Linked DNA regions of Oreochromis niloticus. The protein of the gene in region 1 interacts with the protein of each later gene in a pairwise test. Links are inferred from orthologs where the notes say so. Each region holds a gene or a part of one and is shown in the gene's direction. Other genes may lie near its edges. The genes, in order: nuclear factor 7, brain; ubtd2; wdfy3.

What was found.
Region 2: the proteins of nuclear factor 7, brain (region 1) and ubtd2 interact in a two-hybrid assay, tested with the Homo sapiens proteins (2 studies listed by BioGRID and IntAct). The link is inferred for Oreochromis niloticus from reciprocal best matches to the Homo sapiens genes TRIM39 and UBTD2.
Region 3: the proteins of nuclear factor 7, brain (region 1) and wdfy3 interact in binary tests that used the Homo sapiens proteins (3 or more experiments, as listed by UniProt). The two-hybrid records come from large-scale screens. The link is inferred for Oreochromis niloticus from reciprocal best matches to the Homo sapiens genes TRIM39 and WDFY3.

Annotation. Positions count from the first base shown.
Region 1 is NC_031966.2:22,736,429-22,740,183, reverse strand, and holds the start of nuclear factor 7, brain, read left to right. Parts: upstream 1-813; 5' UTR 814-1,000; coding exon 1,001-1,525; intron 1,526-2,266; coding exon 2,267-2,362; intron 2,363-3,755.
Region 2 is NC_031975.2:18,857,951-18,861,705, reverse strand, and holds the start of ubtd2 (ubiquitin domain-containing protein 2), read left to right. Parts: upstream 1-907; 5' UTR 908-991; coding exon 992-1,274; intron 1,275-3,755.
Region 3 is NC_031977.2:34,658,007-34,661,761, reverse strand, and holds the start of wdfy3 (WD repeat and FYVE domain-containing protein 3), read left to right. Parts: upstream 1-1,091; 5' UTR 1,092-1,366; coding exon 1,367-1,395; intron 1,396-3,755. UniProt on the Homo sapiens protein: Required for selective macroautophagy (aggrephagy). Acts as an adapter protein by linking specific proteins destined for degradation to the core autophagic machinery members, such as the ATG5-ATG12-ATG16L E3-like ligase, SQSTM1 and LC3.

The DNA of each region.
Region 1 (3,755 bases):
ATTTCAAGGCTTCAAAACTTAGTTTCAATCTTCAAAAGCCTGTAAATGCTTTCAATTCTGTCTGAGATGGGTGTTGTTCCAACTGTTGTTCCATCTTTCTGTATGTTTCCATGTTTAATGTCTTTACTTATATTTATAAATAGACTGTGATCAACAGGATTTAAGAAGAGATTATACATAAAATATAGAAATTAGTAAAAGTATTTCTGCGTTATTGTAGCTACATTGTAATGAATCCAGCCCCTTTTGGCCACTTAAAACATCTTTATAGAGCTGTGATGTCATAATTGTTGCAATTTATGCTGCCTTCTTGGCAAGATCTTTAAAAAACACTACATTTTTAATGTCAGTGAGACTTTTTTGCTGGATAAATAAAGAACAAATAAAAGTAACTCTGCCAAAGATTAATTGCAGATTGTGACAGGAATGTCGTTTCTGTCTCAAAATGACTTGATATCCTCAGAGAGAGATAGGTTTGTATGAGTTTATAGGCCAACAACTTATTCAGAGCTGTTTAAATCGTTTTTTGCGATCGTTTTTTGGCAAATACGGGAAATCACTTTTGGGTTTGTGTCTTTTACCTACTACACAGAAGTTTCAGCTCACACGTTTCTGATTTATTTCCTGTAAGTGTTTAATAATTTAAAACTTATAAACCAACAAGTCAGCCAATTTGTTCCTGGTACAACCCCCTTTTAAAAATTCCGCATATATTTCCTCGCAGCAATAACGTGACCTTTCTTGTTACTGTTCTTTCTAAGAAACCCTCTTTCGCTCTGGGCAATCATAAACACACCGCGCCCTTTAATGGAGCCCTTCATCACGCCCAGTCGAGCCTGTTTCTACACGCCTTTGGCCTCTTCCGTGAAAAAAAGTCGTACTGCTGTCAGCGTCAGACCACTCCCTCCCTGAATTTGAACGGAAGAGCAGTTTAGTCTTGTTTCCCCGTTACAGTGTTTCCCACAGACGTGTCTTCTGAGAAGTATGAGCGTAGCAGAGGATGGCGGAGGCCAGCGCGCTTGAAGAGCTACAGTCGGAGCTCACCTGCCCGGTGTGTTTGGAACTCTTCCGTGATCCCGTGATCCTTGAGTGCGGGCACCACTTCTGCCAGGTGTGCATCATCCAGTGCTGGGAAGCTAAGGCGGACGAACTCTCGAGTTGCCCGAAGTGTAGAAAGTCGTGCGCCCGGAAACTGCGACCCAACTCGCTCCTGTGCAACGTCGTGGATAGTGTGCGCAGAGCCCGCGCCATGGACGCGGCCTCGGGGATGTGCGTGTGGGACCACGAAGGTACACTGGAGATGCCCGAGGACCGCGAGCGGGGTTCGAGCATGAGCAGCGTGGCCTCGTCCATCGGGCACTGGCCACGCCTGGGAATGGGTTTGGATATGTGCGAGGAACACGAGGAGAAGCTGAAGCTCTACTGTGAGGACGACCAGCTTCCCATCTGCCTAGTGTGCGGAATGTCTCGAGACCACAAGAGCCACAATGTCATCCCCATTACAGAGGCTTTTGAAAACTACAGGGTACTGTTTTATTATTGGCTCATTTTTTAAGGCTCCGGGTCTTCCAAAACCTTAAATCAGACATATACAGACAATGTTTTGATTTGACCAACATAATCACCAAATTTGATTTCTTTTTCCACTGTATTTTTTCTGCTCTACAGTGTAACAGCTGGAGCTTCTAGATAAAACAAGGAATCAGAGTTTCAAGGAGTGTCATACTTTACAATGCTTACAACTGGACACTCCTCTTATTGTACTGCAGTACTGTATTCCCTCTCAAGTTTCAAGTATTCCTTTAAGTCATGTCAAAACTACTTTTTTACTAAAAAAACCCCTCAACTGCTCTAATGTAGCAAACAGGCTTTTCATAGATGTAGCAGTTGTGCTTTAAAGAGCACACTCCCTGTCTGCCCCAGGAGTCTTTGGGTATTTTTGTGCATTACAGGAATTCAGCAGACCTGTGTGAACTTCACTACCTTTCAAACCTGGCAGCTGACCTTCATCATGTTGTTTGGAAACCTGCTCTGAGAGGCTTCTCTGTGTGTCTTAACATGTTTAAGCAGTGCTAAATTCCAGCTTTGTTAGATTTTTGGGGTCAGGGCGCTCAGTTGAGGATTGGCGGATGTATGACTCCCATTAAAGACGGGACGCTGTTCAGACTGATGCACGAATCAAATTAACTGTTGATTGAAGCGTAATCTGGTTTATATAACCTCTTTTCAACAAACGTTTTTATGTGATTATCTGTTTGTCCTGCAGGAAAAGCTGTCTGTGGCTCTGGAGAGGGTTCAGGTGCAGACAGAGGAGGCCACACTCTTCCAAAAACAGACCAATGAAAAGATCCTCCTCATTAAGGTATCGTGTCTCTGTGTGTGCTGGCTGTTTCTTTGTGAAGCACTGTGAAAGAAAAACACGCCAGTGTGTTTGTCCTCTAAATATAACCAGAAATTCTAGCGGCCAGGCAACATTCTGACGCATTCCTCCACCTTTACCTGTCAAGACAGAGGGATGACTGGCAGTAGTAATGACTGGTGGTACTAACGACTGGTGGTGACACACCATGTTCTTACTCATCTTTGTTTAGACGTGATAATTATCAGGAGCTCATCCTGGAATAAAAAGGGAGGTTCATGAACATTCACACACGTCATTTTGTGTTTGTCTTCGTCATGCGCTCTTCTTTCACATGTTTTTGCCATTCATGTGCCCTAACTGCTTCATGTCACACAGCTTGCGAGGGAACTCAGCTGATAGAGTTTCGACAGGCACAGGAAGGAGTTCACCGAAACACTCGCTGTGTGTGTTAAACACAGATATGAGGGTAGTGTTAGAGAATGCACTGGAGCATTTCTGCAGTGGCAGATAACTTCGTCTAGCTCTGCTCCAGGTTATTACAGACTGTTTCCTTTACTATCTGTGTGTTTAAATGTGTCAGCGGGTGTATTTTCCTGTCTGTCTGTTTGACCCAGTTTACATGCAGATTCACAGATTTTTTTTTCTTCACTTCTCCCTTTCTCTGTCAGTATGACAGGATGTGGTAGAGCAGAGGAAGTTTGTCACTTTTTCTTCTCTGTGTTAAAAATGCAGACATACCTCTATCTATCTATCTATCTATCTATCTATCTATCTATCTATCTATCTATCTATCTATCTATCTATCTATCTATCTATCTATCTATCTATCGATCGATATAATCATTTGTGCCACATGACATAAAATGTATCGTCTCCTCATAACAATTACTGATTTTTCCCATTTCATGAACCACTTCTGGTCTGAACAGTCACAGTGTAAAGTTGTTGATTTAATCTATTGAATATAAGATTGTAGTCATATTTCCAGAGAAGAAGAAAAAATATAATTTTATGCAACAATAACAGTAAAATAGGACACATCCAGTTTTAGTGTCACACCATTACAGTCAATGAGAAGTAAGTGTGTCATCATTTTCACTGACATGCAACAGTTTAAAAAATATATATATTTATTAAATAGTAATAACTCTGTAATAATAAAACCCTATTAAAACAAAAACATGTAACAAAAATTTCAAATGTGACAAAATAAAACTGAACCCCACCGTTTGTCACAGCATAGCTCGGTATTTTTCCACCCCAGGAAGAGCTTAAAAAGACTCAGAGATCGTTATCATACAAACTCTAAAGCAGTTAAGCATTTTGAAGACAGACTTGGTTTCTGTCAGCTTTAAGGGGCATTTTAGAGTCTTGCTATTGCTTTAAAAAAGAA
Region 2 (3,755 bases), on another chromosome or scaffold:
TAAAAACTTCATGTTAGCCTGTTTTATCCACTCCAGAACTAGCTTTGGTGTGTTTGGGCTCATTGCCCCGTTGGAACAACCACGTTTTACCCTTCTAGCTGCTGATGTGAGGCGAAGTGGACGAATTTGGAAGTGGTCCTCCTTTTTCATTATTCCATCCACTTTATGCAATGTACCAATACCGCTGACAGCAAAACAGCCAAAGAGCATGATGCTACCACCCCCATGCTTGACACCTGGTAGAGTGTTGTTAGGTTTGAAAGCCTCACCTTTACTCCTGTGGTACTTCTGTACCAAATTCCTATTTGGAAAAAGAATTGATCAAAGTAACATCATTACCATGATGAGTGTATACAAACTTCTGACTGCAACTGTAACTGCTTTCATTATGCTCTGTAGGGTAAAATCCAGTTTGTGTACAACTTAATAAATTTAAACTGTGTGTCTAAAACACCAAACTAGTTTCACTAATGAAAGCCTCCCATGCAGGAAGGAGAGCAGAGTAGAGTAAAAACCACGCAACACAAAATCAACAATATTTTGTGCATTAAAACTAAAAAATTAATTGAATAATAAAATTAAATAGAGTGGAAATTAGAACATAATAGGCAGCACAGCTACTACAGTCTGCCAGCTGAATGAATGAGAACATAATAAATAATAATAATAGAGGGTGAACATTTTGATGTGTCTTCATCTGTGCAGCAAACATGAACATGAACATGACATCAGATGTGTCAAAATGCATTAACATCACTAGAGCAGAAGGTCCAAAGCAAACATTTCATACCCTAAAGATTATCTTTATCTTTTGTTTTGTTTTGCACAGTGCACTTCTCCTTTGTTCTCTCTCTATGTCTCTTCCTCCTTCGGCCCCTCTCTTTCTCTCCTTCATTCCTACCTCGGTCACCTTGCACCGATGTGAACCTCTCTCAGACCTTCTTGCGCCGCCGAAAAACACGAAGAAGATAATGCCTGCTGAGCTCAGTCTATGCTGAGAGAAGGAGGGGAGGGGAAGGAGGAAGCGAGGAGAAAGGGAAAGACGGGAGGAAACGAGGAGGAAGGAGAGGACAGGAGGGAGGAAGGGAGAAAAGGAGGGGAAGGGGGAAGAGAGAGAGAAAAACGAGAGAGGGGTAGTGGATGTAGCTGTAGCTGTGGGCCGGGGGGTGAGCTACCTAGCCCGGGCTGCTCTGCTGAAACATCCATGGGTGGCTGTGTCGGGAGCCACCACGACTCTTCGGGCAGCTTAAACGAGAACTCGGACGGCACTGGAGGTAACTTGCGGGGCTTGTCGACGTCTTTTATTGGCCACAAGCTTGCATTTCTTTTTTCCTTTTTTTTTTATGAAGGGCTTCCTCCAGGCTCCCTGCATGTTGTCCTGACTGGAGGTCTTCTTCCCTTCCTTTTAATATCCGAGCCAGACAGAGCCGAAGACAGACAGCAGTCCTGCCGGGTGTCTCCCTCCATGCACCTGGCCTTAAAACGGCAAACGACGCCTCGTCTGCTCTGTACTTTACAAAGTGGGAAACATTGACTGTGCCAGGCTGCCTCCCTTTGTTCTTTGGTGTTGACTAAGCTAGCCGGCTAAAACGTAGCTAGTTAGCTTGCTAGCTTTCTGCATAACAAATATGGGTCACAGGCAGCAATGGTATGCAAGGGGAGCGCTCAGGCGTGATTCAGTGTGATTTCAGATTTGAATTATGCCCAGACTCTCTGCACAACTTGAAGTTACTGACAGCTCGAGTAGGGGTGCACATATGGCAGCTGCTGATCTTATCTTATATATTTATTATTATTATTATTATTATTATTGATTGTTTTCGTTGTGAACGAGGTGTCGGGTCATGCTGTGTCCTGAAAAGTGGTCGGAAGAGTGGAGGAGGTGTCAAAACTGTAGCTTTATGACTAAAAGCGAAACTTATCGTGTGAGCAAAAAGTTATATATCGGACAAAACTGCAAGGTAAAGGTTAGTTTTATTTACCGAGCAATAAATGGAGTTGCATGCAGTCGCAAAGCATAGTAGGGATGACAGCTCAAGCAGTGAGAAATTGAGTGCGACACTGTGTATGAATGCATGCTGTAGTACATATTCCCTTTATTAGATAGTTTACATTGGTGATTTGGGTAGGGTGCACAGTGAAAGAAGGGTGCTTTGTCAACTATAAAAGCTCTGGGTGGGGTTTAAGGGGAATTATTGCGTTTAAATGGTGTGAATCTTTAAAAAAAAAAAAAGAAAGATATGGGGGGGGGGGGGAAGAGGCCCTTCTTGTCGTTTGAGGTTGTACACAACTTCCTTAGTGTTGTTTCCTGGTTTGTCTGATCTGAAAATGAGTTCTGCTCACAGCCAGTGAGTTATTTTAATTACAGAGCGGTAAATACAGTTGGTCATGGGGGGGCGGGGTGGAGACTGAACACTTAGAGATGCTGAGATAAAACTTGGTTTCCTTTATTCATTCCCTCGTTGCCTCTGCTTCTGTCTTTGTCAGTTCCTCAGGCTTCCTCCCTGACTAGATGTTGCGTATAAACAGCAGCGGTATCTGTAAAATGTGGAGGATCAAGAGACGCTGCAGCATTAAACGGATGCAGACAAGCAAGCAGGAACGACACAGTTCAGTTCAACATAGGCACATTTATTTGTCACTAAATCAGATCTCGTAGGCAGGTTTACATTGCAGAAATTTTTATGTTAAATTGTTGTGCATACCGGCCTACATAAATCCTTACTGAATGACACCCAAGTAGGTTACTGTTTAAAGATATACGTGAATTATTGGCTTACAGACGATGTGGAAAGCAGGCTAATGAAGACATATGGAGAGAGTCATGCAGACAAGTTCATAACATGAGAGCATATCCACAGGAATTCAGGCATGCACTGCTGGAAAATGATTACAACTAAATGACGCACTAAAATGCTTTTATGTTCCTGATGTTACTGATTGTTTGGTACTTTTGCTAATGTTTTGTATAATCACATAAAATTGTTTAAAGAGCCTGTCCAATGAAAGTTGGCGCAGTTATATTTTCCTCTAAAGATAAATCAGGAAGAAAATAAGCAATTCAACTTCATAGTTGAGCATTTCCGCCTTGGAGCTGCTTTGTACCTGTGTTGGGTCTGGCGCCCCTCTAAGAAATTATAGCTAGAGCCAAAGAAGAATCCTGACTATTGTAATATATAGTACTTAAGCTCTTAGAGAGTCTTAAGCCACTTTTAACAAAAAAAGAAAAGATTTTCTCAGGAATTGCATACATCTTTCTTTGTTAACCTATTAGCCAGAAATCAGATAAACGTAAGTAACACATAAAAGTAACCCAGTCTTCTTGGGTTACTTTCAGAAACGGTACACCCTTTCTGAGCTGGGATAAATATTCATATCTAACGAGCATAAGGAAGTGGAGCTAATTTCTTAGAGTTGGTGAACAGAAACACATTGTTGATTATATATTCTGTGTCTGCTCGGGTCCAAGTGACATAAATTTCATCATCAGATTGTGAGCGCATGTCCATGCCTGTTTTTTTTATAACGCTGTAGACTTGACTGCAGAGAATTTGCATTGCAATGCACCAACAAAGCATGAGCAGGCAGGCAGGCAGTGAACTTAAAGCAGGAATGACTTGTCAGGCTGTCAGATCTCCATCTGTCCATATTTGCAATCAGGTATAAGCATTTGACATTGTCACACTGAAGGCTCATGCTACCCCCTTACCATAACTTTTCTAATCAGGGTCCAAAATGAACAACCTTCAAATGTA
Region 3 (3,755 bases), on another chromosome or scaffold:
GCAAGACATCACGTGCAAAGATGCCCCTGAGACAATCCAGCACCTAACAACAGGGTGCAAGATGCTAGCAAGCAGGGATGCATGAACGCCATAACCAAGTGGCCAGCATAGCGTACTGGAACATCGTGCCAAGTGTGGACTGGAAGTCCCAAAGTCAAAATGAGAGACACTTCCTTGGGTGGTGAAGAATAACCAAATCTAGATTGTGTGGGGATTCCATACACAGATGGACAAACTGGTGATGGCTAACCAACCGGACATAGTAGTGGTGGAAAAGCAGAGGCAGAAGGCCGTAGTGATACATGTAGCTATACCAAGTGATAGCAACATCAGGAAGAAGGAACACAAGAAGCTTGAGAAATACCAAGGCCCTCAACAACAACAACACTGTTGGCTAACATGTTTGATGTTTTGTTGTTGGGGGGCTCTTTGGGGTCAGAAATGGGGTAACCAACATCTTTATCATTACATTATTCCTGCATAGATTTATGTTCAGGGAACTTTGACTGCCCAGTCTCCTTACAGTATGTATGTGGGATTTCCAGTGCTGACTAGTGAGGAAAGCATTGTTTAAACATCTAGTCACACACATTCCTATTAACCACTAAATTATTAAAATAGCAGTCAGTTTTTATTCATTTTAGCCCTTTTCTGTTTTTAAGAACATTACAGAAGCTCAGTGATTGCTTTCAAAGAATTTATGATAAGGTACATTTTTGGCTTTTAAATGAAAAATGTTATCAGGTATTAATATTTCAGTTGCCTTCTACAAATGCTTTAGTGTGACACATGTAGATTAATTGAGAATGCTTTTGTCATTCCCTGTACTTGTCCCCGAAAGCACACCACATAATAATGCAAAGTTAATGTGAGCTGTCTGAGCTTGGATGTACAGGATGGCGACCGAAATGGCCAGAAAATGAATTTTTAATGATGCTCACTGCTGTGAGTTCTGCCTCCCACTCCTCCTCCCCTTTTCTTGTGGTAATGGTATGTTCCTGTCGTCGTTGAGGCCAAAGCCCGCCCTCCTTTCCTCCCCTCCTCTTCCACCAAAGCCCTGTACACCCCACCCGGTGTCAGGGGGGGATCAGCTGTGCCAGTCCCGGCAGACCACACACACATACATACATACATACACACACAGTATGCTGACTGGCGAACAAAGCCACTGGTACTGCCAATAAAGGCGAGCCATGCCTCCGCGCTTCTCCTCTCCTCTCCTTTCCTTACGCTGCTGTGAGGGGAAGGCATGACACCATTGCCATCGCCTCTCTGTTTCAGGAAGACACTGTTGTTGGGAGGAAGAGCGGCTGGTCTTTGGCTTATGGTGGAATATTCTTGTCTCTTCTTCTGTTGATGAGTTGAGATGCTGGCGGAGCGCAGAGAGAATAGCAGGTAGGGAAAATCAGAGCTGGGTGCCGAGCTCGTTTCCGCAGCGACCAGGGGTTTGTTTACTGTTCACTGGTAAAAGCCTGACCTTGGTGGATATAGTATGTTTATTGATGTTATTGATCTAAAATAACTGCCTCTCGGTGTCAGCGACCGTTTCACGTCGATTGACGATTAAGCTTCGATTCCAGAGATTGTCACCATCGAGCAGTTACAGCATCTCCTACTGTTGCATCTTTATTGTAAGAATATATCCCGATGTGGTTAAAGCAATCATCGGCCAAACCCAAACGAAGCAAATGTGTGACTTAGCAAAAGATACGTGTAAAATGCCTAAAGATGTCATTAGATAGAAGATGTTCTTCTCAAGAGTGTTAATAATTTTAAAGTTTAAACAAAAACATCACAAATGCTCAACACTATAAGAAGAGGGTAGCCTTCAATAATTGTTACACTTTAAATTAATAAAATAACATGGATGACATTTAACCTACTTACAACCTACAGTCTCAGAAAATATAATCACAATAATTCTGGACATTATTGGGATCTTGCATAACACGATTATTTGTAGACTTGGGAGCAAATAGATTTATCCAATGTGGGAAAAACAAATGGACTTTTTTACTGTGGACTTGAAATTGTAATTAAGCTGAAGGAAAGAACAAAAGAAATACAAACCAAGTTAAATATGCCACAGACTGTTGGAGAGCGTATTTGGATTATTGTATAGCAGCATAAGTAGAGTTGGTTGCTGATTGACAAAATCGAATATAGCTTGATAATTATCCCGGTTATCTTGTTTTAATAATGGTCGGAAACCAAAGCTGTTTATAAGTCAGTAAGAATGATATTAGACATCAAAGTTAGGCTTCAGGAAGCAGAAATTAAGGTTGGTCATTTTAAAAAATCTAATTCAATGTCAGGCCAACAACCAGTGATTTGTGTGTGTACCCATTATACTTAGCAGTCATATGAAGGATACCTTATAACCTCTGATTAAACAAACACACAGGGATAACATATGCTATTAAATAATTAAGGTAGTGCAGCTAGTGGTCCTTTATAGCTTGGTAGCTCAAAATGTTGTTGGTTTTGAGCTAACAATCTCGAATGTGTAAATATACAAGACTTAAAGCTAATTCCTTCTTTATACATTTTATATTTGCACTGTTATTATATTAGTACTCAGTCTCTATGGCCCTACATTTGCTACCAATACATGATGAGAATCTCTGCAAGTCTCTGTGTACAACTCGACTCAAGCTCAACACAACCAAAATGAAGGCGGCACCTTCTTGTGGCACTATTTCAAATAAAGTAGACATAAGAGTGCACACATCCAACCATGATTTTCTATTGCTCCTTGCTTTGAATACACAAGAATATAGACCACCAACAAAGTGTAATGCATATGAAAAAATCCCCTGAGAGTTAATGAGTATATTCTTCCACTTACCCAACCCTAGTCTGCACACTGCATATTTTTGGCTTGTTTTTAAGATTATGTGTAGTTTGAATATATTTACATGAAATGTTTAAAGCTATTTAAAACTCACATTTTATAGTCTATTCTTTCTCTTACTAAACATAACTGAGTAGGAATGGCTTATGCAAAATCAAAGCTGAAAATTTGGGCAACTGTGATAAGATAAAAGGGGGAAAAAGAGAAGTTATCATGTTGCCCTTTGTGAAAAACTGTAGTGGTGCTATTTGAAGATGAAAATAAACTTGCAAAGATGTTGTGAAAGGTTTACTCTGGGGCTATCGTTGATTGTCATTATAATTGTAAATGGAGATTATAATGCATTGTTGTTCATGCTTCAAATATATGGAAGTTGTATCAAAATGTTACCATACATCTATATGTTTTACCATTGATATTTAAAATTTAATTGACTACAAAAGTCACCCTCCTGTACCTAATATTGTGTAATTATATAATTGACAGGCAGCAATTTGTGTGAGGCCTGCTAGTTGTCATGGATACCATTCAGCGATCCAGCTAACACACTACTGAAATGTATTGGCACTCTTTGAGCACATGAAAGTGCAGCGCTCACATTTTTGAGAAATAAATCAGTATTTTTTTGTCAAGGATACACGACAGCCGCTCTGCTTTCAAATCAACCGGCAGACGAGGCACAAGTAGAACTGTAAGACTAATTATGTGATATTAGTCTGTGATGACAACTATCCAGGCGTTGTTTAGTGCAGGACTAAATAGATGCCCATTTTAGATGCAGTTAACTCTGGTCGTGACCAGACATGTTCAGCATGAGATCATTTCCTGCTCCTCTGTCTCATGTTACAAGACAGGCAACATTGACTTGGTGACAAAAACATGTTGCACTACTTAGAAACTG